2 linked regions of the Arabidopsis thaliana genome follow. The protein of the gene in region 2 interacts with the protein of the main gene of each other region in a pairwise test. Each region holds a gene or a part of one and is shown on either strand. Other genes may lie near its edges. The genes, in order: TIM23-2 and SD3.

Region 1 (3,657 bases), on a different chromosome or scaffold from region 2:
ATAATTTCTGTGCCATGTAGATAGAGGATGAATTGAGAAAATCATATTGAGTATTGATAAAAACATGGAAATTCGACGTAGATCAACCAGAAGCTGAAAATGGCAGTACCTGAGATCCACGACTATCTTGATCCTTCTAAGACCCGTAACCATCCTATACCTAGAAGGAGTCGACCTCCAAGATCACATACAAGCAAGTACAAAGGCAACGGTTGGTCTTTTATGAGTTGTGCTCCTTCCAGAGTTCAGTGGGGTGATCTCCCATAGCGTGTGGGGAGTTCCCTTATCTTTGTATATGAAACATTCTTTTAGTTTTGTTCATGTAAAATTCTACACTTTAAAGAAGACTTGTTTATTGATGTAAAGACCCTCATTCGAATGAAGAAATCAGACGAAATGTCATTTTGCAGGTACATGATCTTCTGAAACAAAACAAAAATTCTAAGCAAGCTGCAAAACTGAAAGTTTAAGGCTTTAATAAAAAGATTAGAGGACACTATTTGTTCTTCATTTAGAGCAGCTGATAAGGTCTAGAGACGGTAAGAGTTTAGAGAAGGTTTGCTACACAATATGCCTGAGACTTGAGAACCAAAAACCACAAAACCAAAAGTGACTGATCCATCATCATAAGCTTGTGAAATCTTGGAGACAAAATTAATAGCTAAGAGCAGAGAACAGTCCAGAGAAATAGAACCAGGGGGATATAATAGGTAACAAAATAACACCATCAAATATCAGGTTAGTACTCAATGAGATAAACAGAGGTATACAATTATGTGAACACACTACACCATCCCAATTAACAAAATGATAAGAAAAAACTTGAGAGAAGAGCTTCATTTTCAAATGTAATACAACACATCAGTTTCTCAACGAATCAAGAAAGAGTTAACATTGATCAAAAACAGAAACATAAAACACTAACTAGAACAAACACACTCATGACAAATTAAATTACCAATCGGCAAAACATTTAATCAGTATGAATATAAGAAAAAGGTTTGCAGGTTATTCTTCAAAGTGAAACTGCATTATGACTTGACATACAGACTTGTTGTACCTCTAGAAACCAAATAAAGTTTTCATTTTTATGATTCCAAGACATACCAAACCTATCAAATTCTCACCATTTCCCCTATCAAAAATTTCAACAACGACCCGAAAAAGAGTCTGCCAATTAGACTCTTGCAGTCTTCAAATGGGCACATACCGCTTCACAATTTGCTTCCCAGCTACAACAGCTCCAGCCGCAAGTCCACCAAGAGCACCAGCTACAGCTGCAGATCTCACTCCTCTCGCCGCTCTACAAACAGCTCCGGTTCCAAGACCAGCCACCACACTGGTCCAAACATCATCTCTATCCGTGGCAGCCACAATACCACTCTCGATCCCTGCGTAAACCAATCCAATGATACCAATCCGATTACCCCAAGTTCGACCAGTTTGACCAGAAGAGTTCAAGATCCTGTTGATTTTGAGCTTAGTAGTGTCGCCAGATTCGAAGCTTTTGACTCCAGTGATGACTCCAACAGAAGCTCCGGCAACGGAGCCACCGAGGTAAGCTGTTCCGGTGTAGAAAGTGAGATTCTCACCCCAAGATCTACGTTGCCTTAAAGCCTCCTCCGTGAAGAGAAACTCAGGGGAGGTAGGAAGCTTGTAAAGGTACTGAGATTTGTTGATTGGGACTTCGTAGTTTTGGTAAGGATTGTAAAGTCTTGTGTTTTCGTCTGACCCATGATCGGATCTGTTATTAGCCGCCATCGATGGAAGAGAAAAGTCTAGGTTTTAAGGATTTTGGTGGTGGCTAGAGAGAGAGAGACGACGGAGAGGAAAGAGAGAGAGAGAAACGTGTGATGATGTGGTTGTGTTGTGTCTCTCTGAATGTTTGGTTTGGTTGCCGAAATGAGAAATGAAACCAAACTAAACTAAAAATCTATGTTTAGGGTTTTTAGGGAAAGACTCAGTCCAGTTGTTTCCAGATACGCGCAGTACCAGATTCGCTTAATACTCGCGTTTACGTTTATTTCGAACTTAACCCCATTTATTTTATTTTCTCTATTTAAACCCAAGTTGGTTTTCTCTTACCACCACACACTGTATTTGCTGATATTTCGAATGTGACCCCATAAGTTTAATTTTTACAAAATTAACCTCTTCAACATTGGACTTTTCAAAGTCATACTTAATTACTTTGCAAAATTGCAATCCATCGTGACAACCAAACATCCTCGAATTTTCAGGTGTTTCTCTTATAATGTCAGAAATATTTTTACGACGAACGAACCTAATTTTATGAATTTTTTTTGTCATCAGTTTTTATTTAGAGAACTAAACTTCAAATAAAATAATTAAGGATTCAAATACAAAGCTTATTTGTTTTTAATTTAAGTCAAAAGGCCAAAAAAAAAAATTCGATTTAATTTCGAGAGCGTAAATAGAAGACAAAATAAAAAGCATAAATTCGGAAGTAAATAATCGAAAAAGTTTTGCAAACTGGAAACCTCCTCCCGCAGTCACACAACTGCGCAGAGCCAAAAATAAACGAAACCTCCGGCGAAAGCTACGGCGAAGAGACTGCGTCTAACTCCGTTTACACGCCGATTGTCTTGGAGAGAGAGAGAGAGCACGAGGTAAATCACGCAAGGGTTAGATGGGAAACCAGAAACTAAAGTGGACGGCGGAGGAAGAGGAGGCGTTACTCGCCGGAATCAGAAAGCACGGTCCTGGAAAGTGGAAGAATATTCTCCGGGATCCAGAATTCGCTGATCAGCTCATCCATCGCTCCAACATTGACCTAAAGGTTTCTCTTTTCTTCACTCACCTCTTTAAAATCACTCTCGTTGAACCATATATTAAACCTAGACATCGAATTTGAGACCAACCCGGAGTGCATTATGTACTCTGTCGTATCTGCTTAGTTTAAGATCCATAAAAAATCAAAACTTTTGGCAATAGGTTTTATTAGTGTTGCCTCTTATCATTGGTTATAGGATTAGAGATTCCTTGGATAGATTATAAGTTTTTTTTTTTATTGATTCAAGTGTGCAATACCTAAAGCTAGCTTGGTTGAGTTGGAGATTTGAGGTGGAAAGAGTAGTACTGTCCTTCATTTTGCTATGGATTTCTTTTACTTGGTGGTAGTCTTATGAAGAAGAGTTTGAAAATTTTGTGTGTTTCAATACTTAATAGGATAAGTGGCGTAACTTGAGTGTTCCCCCTGGTACTCAAAGTTTAACTAATAAGGCACGGCCAGCAAAAGTCAAAGAGGAAGGCGACACTCCGGCTGCAGATGCAAATGATGCTGTCACTATTCCACGGCCTATTCCTACTATTCCACCTCCTCCCGGTCGGCGTACTTTACCTTCTGAGTTGATCCCTGATGAAAATACAAAGAATGCTCCTAGGTTTGTCTTTCTTTGTTCTCTATTTCTCATACTTGAGGCCAGAAAGTATGATGAGAGACTAGTTCCATAAATGCTAGTCTATCAACTCTGAGTAATAATCTTCATCATGTATTGCTAAACTTCTGATATGTCCCTATTTTCAGGTATGACGGGGTGATATTTGAAGCTCTCTCTGCTTTAGCCGATGGTAATGGATCTGATGTCAGTTCCATTTATCATTTCATTGAGGTTTGACAAATTTCTCTCTGCTATT
Region 2 (5,252 bases):
AACTACAGACTTCCCTAGCCCAGTCCTGAACATTGGGATTTCCCCAGGCATCGCTTCTTCCCGTGCTATAAGCTTCGAGCATCCTTGAAGCATCAAATAATAATTCAATCTCCTTTGAGTCACATGACAAACACGATTCGACAAAAAAAGGAAGAAACGAAGAATCACCTTGGAGCAAGAGATCGGCCATAGAAGGTAGAGGAGCTGTCGATTCGAGCGCCTTGGTTGGCGTAGAATCCGAGACGGACTGAAGAATCCGGCCAGCGACTTCCCACCGGAAACCATCGCCGCTGGAATCGGGAAATAATTGCCACGTCGACATTTATTCAGTTCTAGAGTTTCGAATTTTTCCGACTCGTCGTTCTCTGATTCAGCCGGAGAACTAAACCTCGCGATTCAGAATTGCCTACCACACCAAGAGTCGGGAGTGCGGAAATTTTATTTTTATATTTTCTGTTTTCTTTCCCCCCAAAACCATCACCAAAAATCTAAAAAGTTAAAAGACGGCGGGAAAGTTGAAAACGATTTGGGCCGAAATTAACTTTGGGCTTGGTTTTAACGACATAACGTCTCAAGACAAGTGAGTTAATGCCACGGCCTTTTATTGAGGTAAAAAAGGCACGAATGCTAACCGAAAATCGTTCCAAACAACAATTGCTTACGTGGACATTTTAAAACATCTGTTCAATGGTCATTGGTGACTGACTTCAATGAAAATTACATTGCAACAATAGCCAAGTATCACAGAAAGTTACATTGCAACAATTTCCACGTCAAATTTCTAAACATGCAGAACGGTAATTTACACGGGGAAGGCGCTGAGGAGGCGGAGGGTGCTACGGAGGGGATCGCAGGAACACCGATGAATGAGAAGAATCCAGAGGCGGCATGATCTTGCTCGTCGAGGAGAGTGGATGATGCTCTATAAACGGCCAACAATATGGTCGACGTACACCTAAAATGTCTTGCTACGTGGATGCACCACTAAACCTTTCAACTTTTTTGTGTTTTCTTTTCTTAATTAAACACAAGATTAATTAGGAAATCTTGTGTTTCGTTCCGTTTCGTTTCGATTTCTGGTTTCTTGTTTCTATTACTCAAATTATTGCTCGAGTGTTAGGTTTGCTTGTATCTATCCTTGTTTTTTCCGTGATTATGTAATTTGATTGGCCCTTGTAGTCGAGATGTTTGTAGCCTTGATGGCTCGGGGAAACTCAGAGAGAGAGTTGGTCCCGGTTGCATTCTCCGCTGTCTTACTGATACCATAAACACCGTTTGATCCATGATTGCCTCTATTGTATACTTGATGCTTCATGATATATGCATTCTCCATGTCTCTGTTTCATGTTTACGCATAAAAATATTATCAAGCCTCAAACTTGAATTCGGTTCAAAATCCTAGACATCCCCAAGAGGATCATAAACACAGTTTAGACTTGTTTTTCAATTAGCAAACAGTTGCTTGATAAGAAGTCATTCCTACAGCTCATGTGTAACACAATTCTCTCTCTTTTCTCCAACACCCCAACTAAAACAATCTAAGCCGTTTCTGAATGTTTTCCGGATCTGCTGAGTCATAAATACGAGTGCTTTAGGCAGGCAAATAAGACTCCAGCATCAATTTGGCTGGGGAAGGTGTTAAAATCTCTACGATCAGGTACGTGTATTTCCATTCCTTCTCTGCCTTGTCTTTAAACATCTCCGTGTACACTTTCCCTGCTCCTTGAGGCCCACGGATGTAGAAGTTTACCTGAAGCATATTCAATTTTGATCATGTTAAACCTGCAAAACTCTAGACAATTTATATAGCAAGAATGTGAATCCAAGCGCAATAGAGGTTCTACAATGAAATACCTCAACATGCTCCACTCCGTCTTCATCTGTAAATACTCTGTTGGGTATACGTTGACGAGCAGCTCGGTTTCTAGTTTCTTGTCCATAGCCTTTGATGGGGGATCCAATCCTAACCCTCACCTAGTTAACAAGACAATCACAGTCACAGAAATTGTTTCATTTTATAAACAGATGCTTTTGTTTCATACACCACCCCTCCGCTATGATCAATCTGTAGAGTTAGTTTCTAATTACCTGACCATCATCTTGAATTCTCTTCAAGGCTTTGTCAAAGACCTTGTACCTAGAATACATAATGGTGTCTTTAGATTACTCAAATCCAAGTGTCTGAGCAGATAAATCAAATTAGATTTCTGAAGCCTCACTCTTTTGGTTGAAAAATGAGCTCTTTAAACACACCGTAGCCAGCAGCTCCAGCGACACCAAGCCCAGCCAGAATAACAAGACTGTAGGACGCACCTTCTGTAAAGGTCACCGGCTTCTCCGGGATGTGGTATGTAGGAGAATCAAAAGGATCCTCCACAGTCGTCACCTCTTTCTTAGCCTGTAAAACAATTGGCAAAGCAAGCATCATTATTAGATGACAGAAGCTGTCTGTCGCTTTTGACGGCTTGCGTTGTGATAAATGGCAAACACATAACGTAGACATTAAGTAGAAACTTGTAGGAAGAAACACCTTATTCTGCTGATTCCCAGGTTCTTTTGAAGTTCTTGATGCAAAAGATCTGGTAAAGTAAGATGAGTTGATGTTCTTTGGACGAGCTTCCGTACATATACTTGCTTGCGGGTTTCGGAAGCGAAACAATAGTCCTGTATAACAGACAATTGTCAGAACAACAAGGTACACATCAACACTAGGATTTGAAGTTTGATTACACAATTATCACTGCTGACCATTAGCTCCAGTAGAGTCCTGCATAAGAAAAACGATGAGAGGTATGAGACTAACATATAAGCCCAAAAGGGTGTAAAGAGCAAAGAAAATGTTGTCGAAGCAAATATTTAACAAGTAAAGGGAAGAAAATACCTTTGAAAGAAATGAGTTGCTAAAAACCCTCTTGGACTGATATATAACAAAAGTAACACTGTAAGTTTTCCCCAGATCAAGGACACTAGAGAGATTCAATTCAAACAGGACTAGAGACACTGAAAAAAACGACCTCAATTTTCACAAGATCCTAAACAATCCGTGTCTATGTAGTAGAAGAACCAATAGCTTTTAGCCAATATTATATAGAAATGCCGGCAGAGTGAGATGGAATACGAAAGCCTTACCGATTTTGGGATTCCGGAACAAGGTTGTGTAGCGGAGGAAAACGACGCCAGTTTCGATTTTGATTGGCGGCCGATGGCTATCGCTGATCTCCTTAAAAGATTCATCATCATCATCTCTGAACCACCAATATTACTGATTGAAAAATCGAAGTGGAGACGACGACGACGACGAGCGAGGTTGAATGAGCAAGGCAAAGCCGCTCGCCGTTGCTGGGGTTTTATCGTAGACACGTGACGCGCACGTGCAAGCTATTTCCTTGGGCTTGGGCTTAGACTCATGAGATAAAGCAAATAAAACCCAAATGGGCTTTTTAGAAAAGAAACCCAAATAACAGAGTATCTCTTCTTCTTCTTCGTGCAACAACCTAACCATGGAAATTGCAATTTGCAAACATGGCGCTCGCGCTCTCGCTGTCGGCATGTTCTCCTCCACTCCGCCGCACTCGTCGTGCCGGTTTTCGAACAAGCTGCTCGATCTTCGCGAATCCAGCACAGCGAGCCAAGAGGAAGCTGCTTGAGCTGATCTCCGAGGAGGATCGAGGTCTGAGAACCCAGAAAGACCCCAAGAAGCGAGATGAAATCGTGAACGCCATCGAATCCATGACGGTTATCGGGCGCAGCTCCATCACCACAGACGACTCTCTATCTGCCACGTGGCGGCTCTTGTGGACGACGGAGAAGGAACAGTTGTTCATCATAGAAAAGGCAGGCTTGTTTGGGACGACCGCCGGAGACGTTTTGCAGGTGATCGATGTGAATAAACGGATCCTCAATAACGTCATCACTTTCCCGCCGGACGGGGTTTTCTTCGTACGCTCCGATATCGATATCGCTTCCCCGCAGAGAGTCAATTTCAGGTTCCAAAAACCACTTCTTCTTCGTACGCTCTGATATCGAAATGTGTAGCATCATAGCTTAGTTGATAGCGTTTTTGATATTCAGATTCAATAGTGCGGTATTGAGAGGGAAGAACTGGGAGCTCCCACTGCCACCATTTGGGAAGGGCTGGTGAGTGACTTCTCTCTGTTTCCTCTTCGGAGCTACTTGTATAGATAAAGAGAGTGAGTTTGGGTTTTGGTTCCACAGGTTTGAGAATGTGTATATGGACGGTGAGATCAGAGTGGCCAAGGACATCAGAGGAGACTACTTAATTGTTGATCGTGCTCCTTATAACTGGACTGAATCATTTGTATAATTTGTGATGCTTTTTGCTTCTTGTATAAGTTATACACCATTTCTGTCTCTCTCCTTTATCATTGGGCCTCAAATAGATGATGCAGGAATATAGGGAGGAGGAGGAAGAGGAATTTGAAGGATCATTCAAAGTGTCATCCTTGAGTTTATTTAGGGTTTTTGTCTGTGTTTGTTACAAACACACCACCCACATTTTCTATGCCCTTTTTTAATGTTATTTTCACAATCCATGACTTAAAAGGCCAACACTAATCCTTTGTCTCTTATTTCATTGTGAACTCACAAAGATGTTGGTGTCCGCAAGGGTAGAGAAACAAAAGCGTGTTGCTTATCAGGGGAAGGCGACAGTGCTTGCTCTCGGTAAGGCCTTGCCGAGCAATGTTGTTTCCCAGGAGAATCTCGTGGAGGAGTATCTCCGTGAAATCAAATGCGATAACCTTTCTATCAAAGACAAGCTGCAACACTTGTGTAACTTCCCTCTACTTTCTTTGACAACTTTTTTTCTTTGAGCACTTGTGCAAAGATAAGCGTGTTTGTGTGTCTTGGTGATGTTAGGCAAAAGCACAACTGTCAAGACACGCTACACAGTCATGTCACGGGAGACGCTGCACAAATACCCTGAACTAGCAACCGAGGGTTCCCCAACCATCAAACAGAGGCTTGAGATTGCAAACGATGCGGTTGTGCAGATGGCATATGAAGCGAGCTTGGTTTGCATCAAGGAATGGGGAAGGGCAGTGGAAGATATCACTCATCTTGTCTACGTTTCCTCCAGTGAGTTCCGTTTGCCCGGAGGTGATCTTTACCTCTCGGCACAGCTGGGCCTTAGCAACGAGGTTCAGAGAGTGATGCTGTATTTTCTTGGATGCTATGGAGGTTTGAGTGGGCTGCGCGTGGCCAAAGACATTGCTGAGAACAACCCAGGGAGC

Evidence for each region.
Region 1: the proteins of SD3 (region 2) and TIM23-2 interact in a two-hybrid assay, tested with the Arabidopsis thaliana proteins (one study listed by BioGRID).

Annotation. Positions count from the first base shown.
Region 1 is NC_003070.9:27,381,681-27,385,337, reverse strand, and holds TIM23-2 (translocase inner membrane subunit 23-2), read right to left. Parts: upstream 1,974-3,657; 5' UTR 1,783-1,973; coding exon of another isoform or gene 1,762-1,782; coding exon 1,195-1,761; 3' UTR 814-1,194; downstream 1-813. Other genes in the region: AT1G72760 (Protein kinase superfamily protein), read left to right, coding at 21-50; AT1G72755 (uncharacterized protein), read left to right, coding at 1,520-1,557, 1,755-1,782; AT1G72740 (Homeodomain-like/winged-helix DNA-binding family protein), read left to right, coding at 2,651-2,800, 3,190-3,404, 3,548-3,632. UniProt on the Arabidopsis thaliana protein: Essential component of the TIM17:23 complex, a complex that mediates the translocation of transit peptide-containing proteins across the mitochondrial inner membrane. Links the inner and outer membranes.
Region 2 is NC_003075.7:10,043-15,294, forward strand, and holds SD3 (import inner membrane translocase subunit), read right to left. Parts: upstream 3,318-5,252; 5' UTR 3,244-3,317; coding exon 3,130-3,243; intron 2,918-3,129; coding exon 2,882-2,917; intron 2,768-2,881; coding exon 2,749-2,767; intron 2,665-2,748; coding exon 2,531-2,664; intron 2,399-2,530; coding exon 2,220-2,398; intron 2,138-2,219; coding exon 2,089-2,137; intron 1,975-2,088; coding exon 1,855-1,974; intron 1,751-1,854; coding exon 1,592-1,750; 3' UTR 773-1,591; downstream 1-772. Other genes in the region: BRCA2(IV) (BREAST CANCER 2 like 2A), read right to left, coding at 1-83, 169-322; AT4G00030 (Plastid-lipid associated protein PAP / fibrillin family protein), read left to right, coding at 3,523-3,986, 4,072-4,137, 4,216-4,324; AT4G00040 (Chalcone and stilbene synthase family protein), read left to right, coding at 4,611-4,791, 4,879-5,252.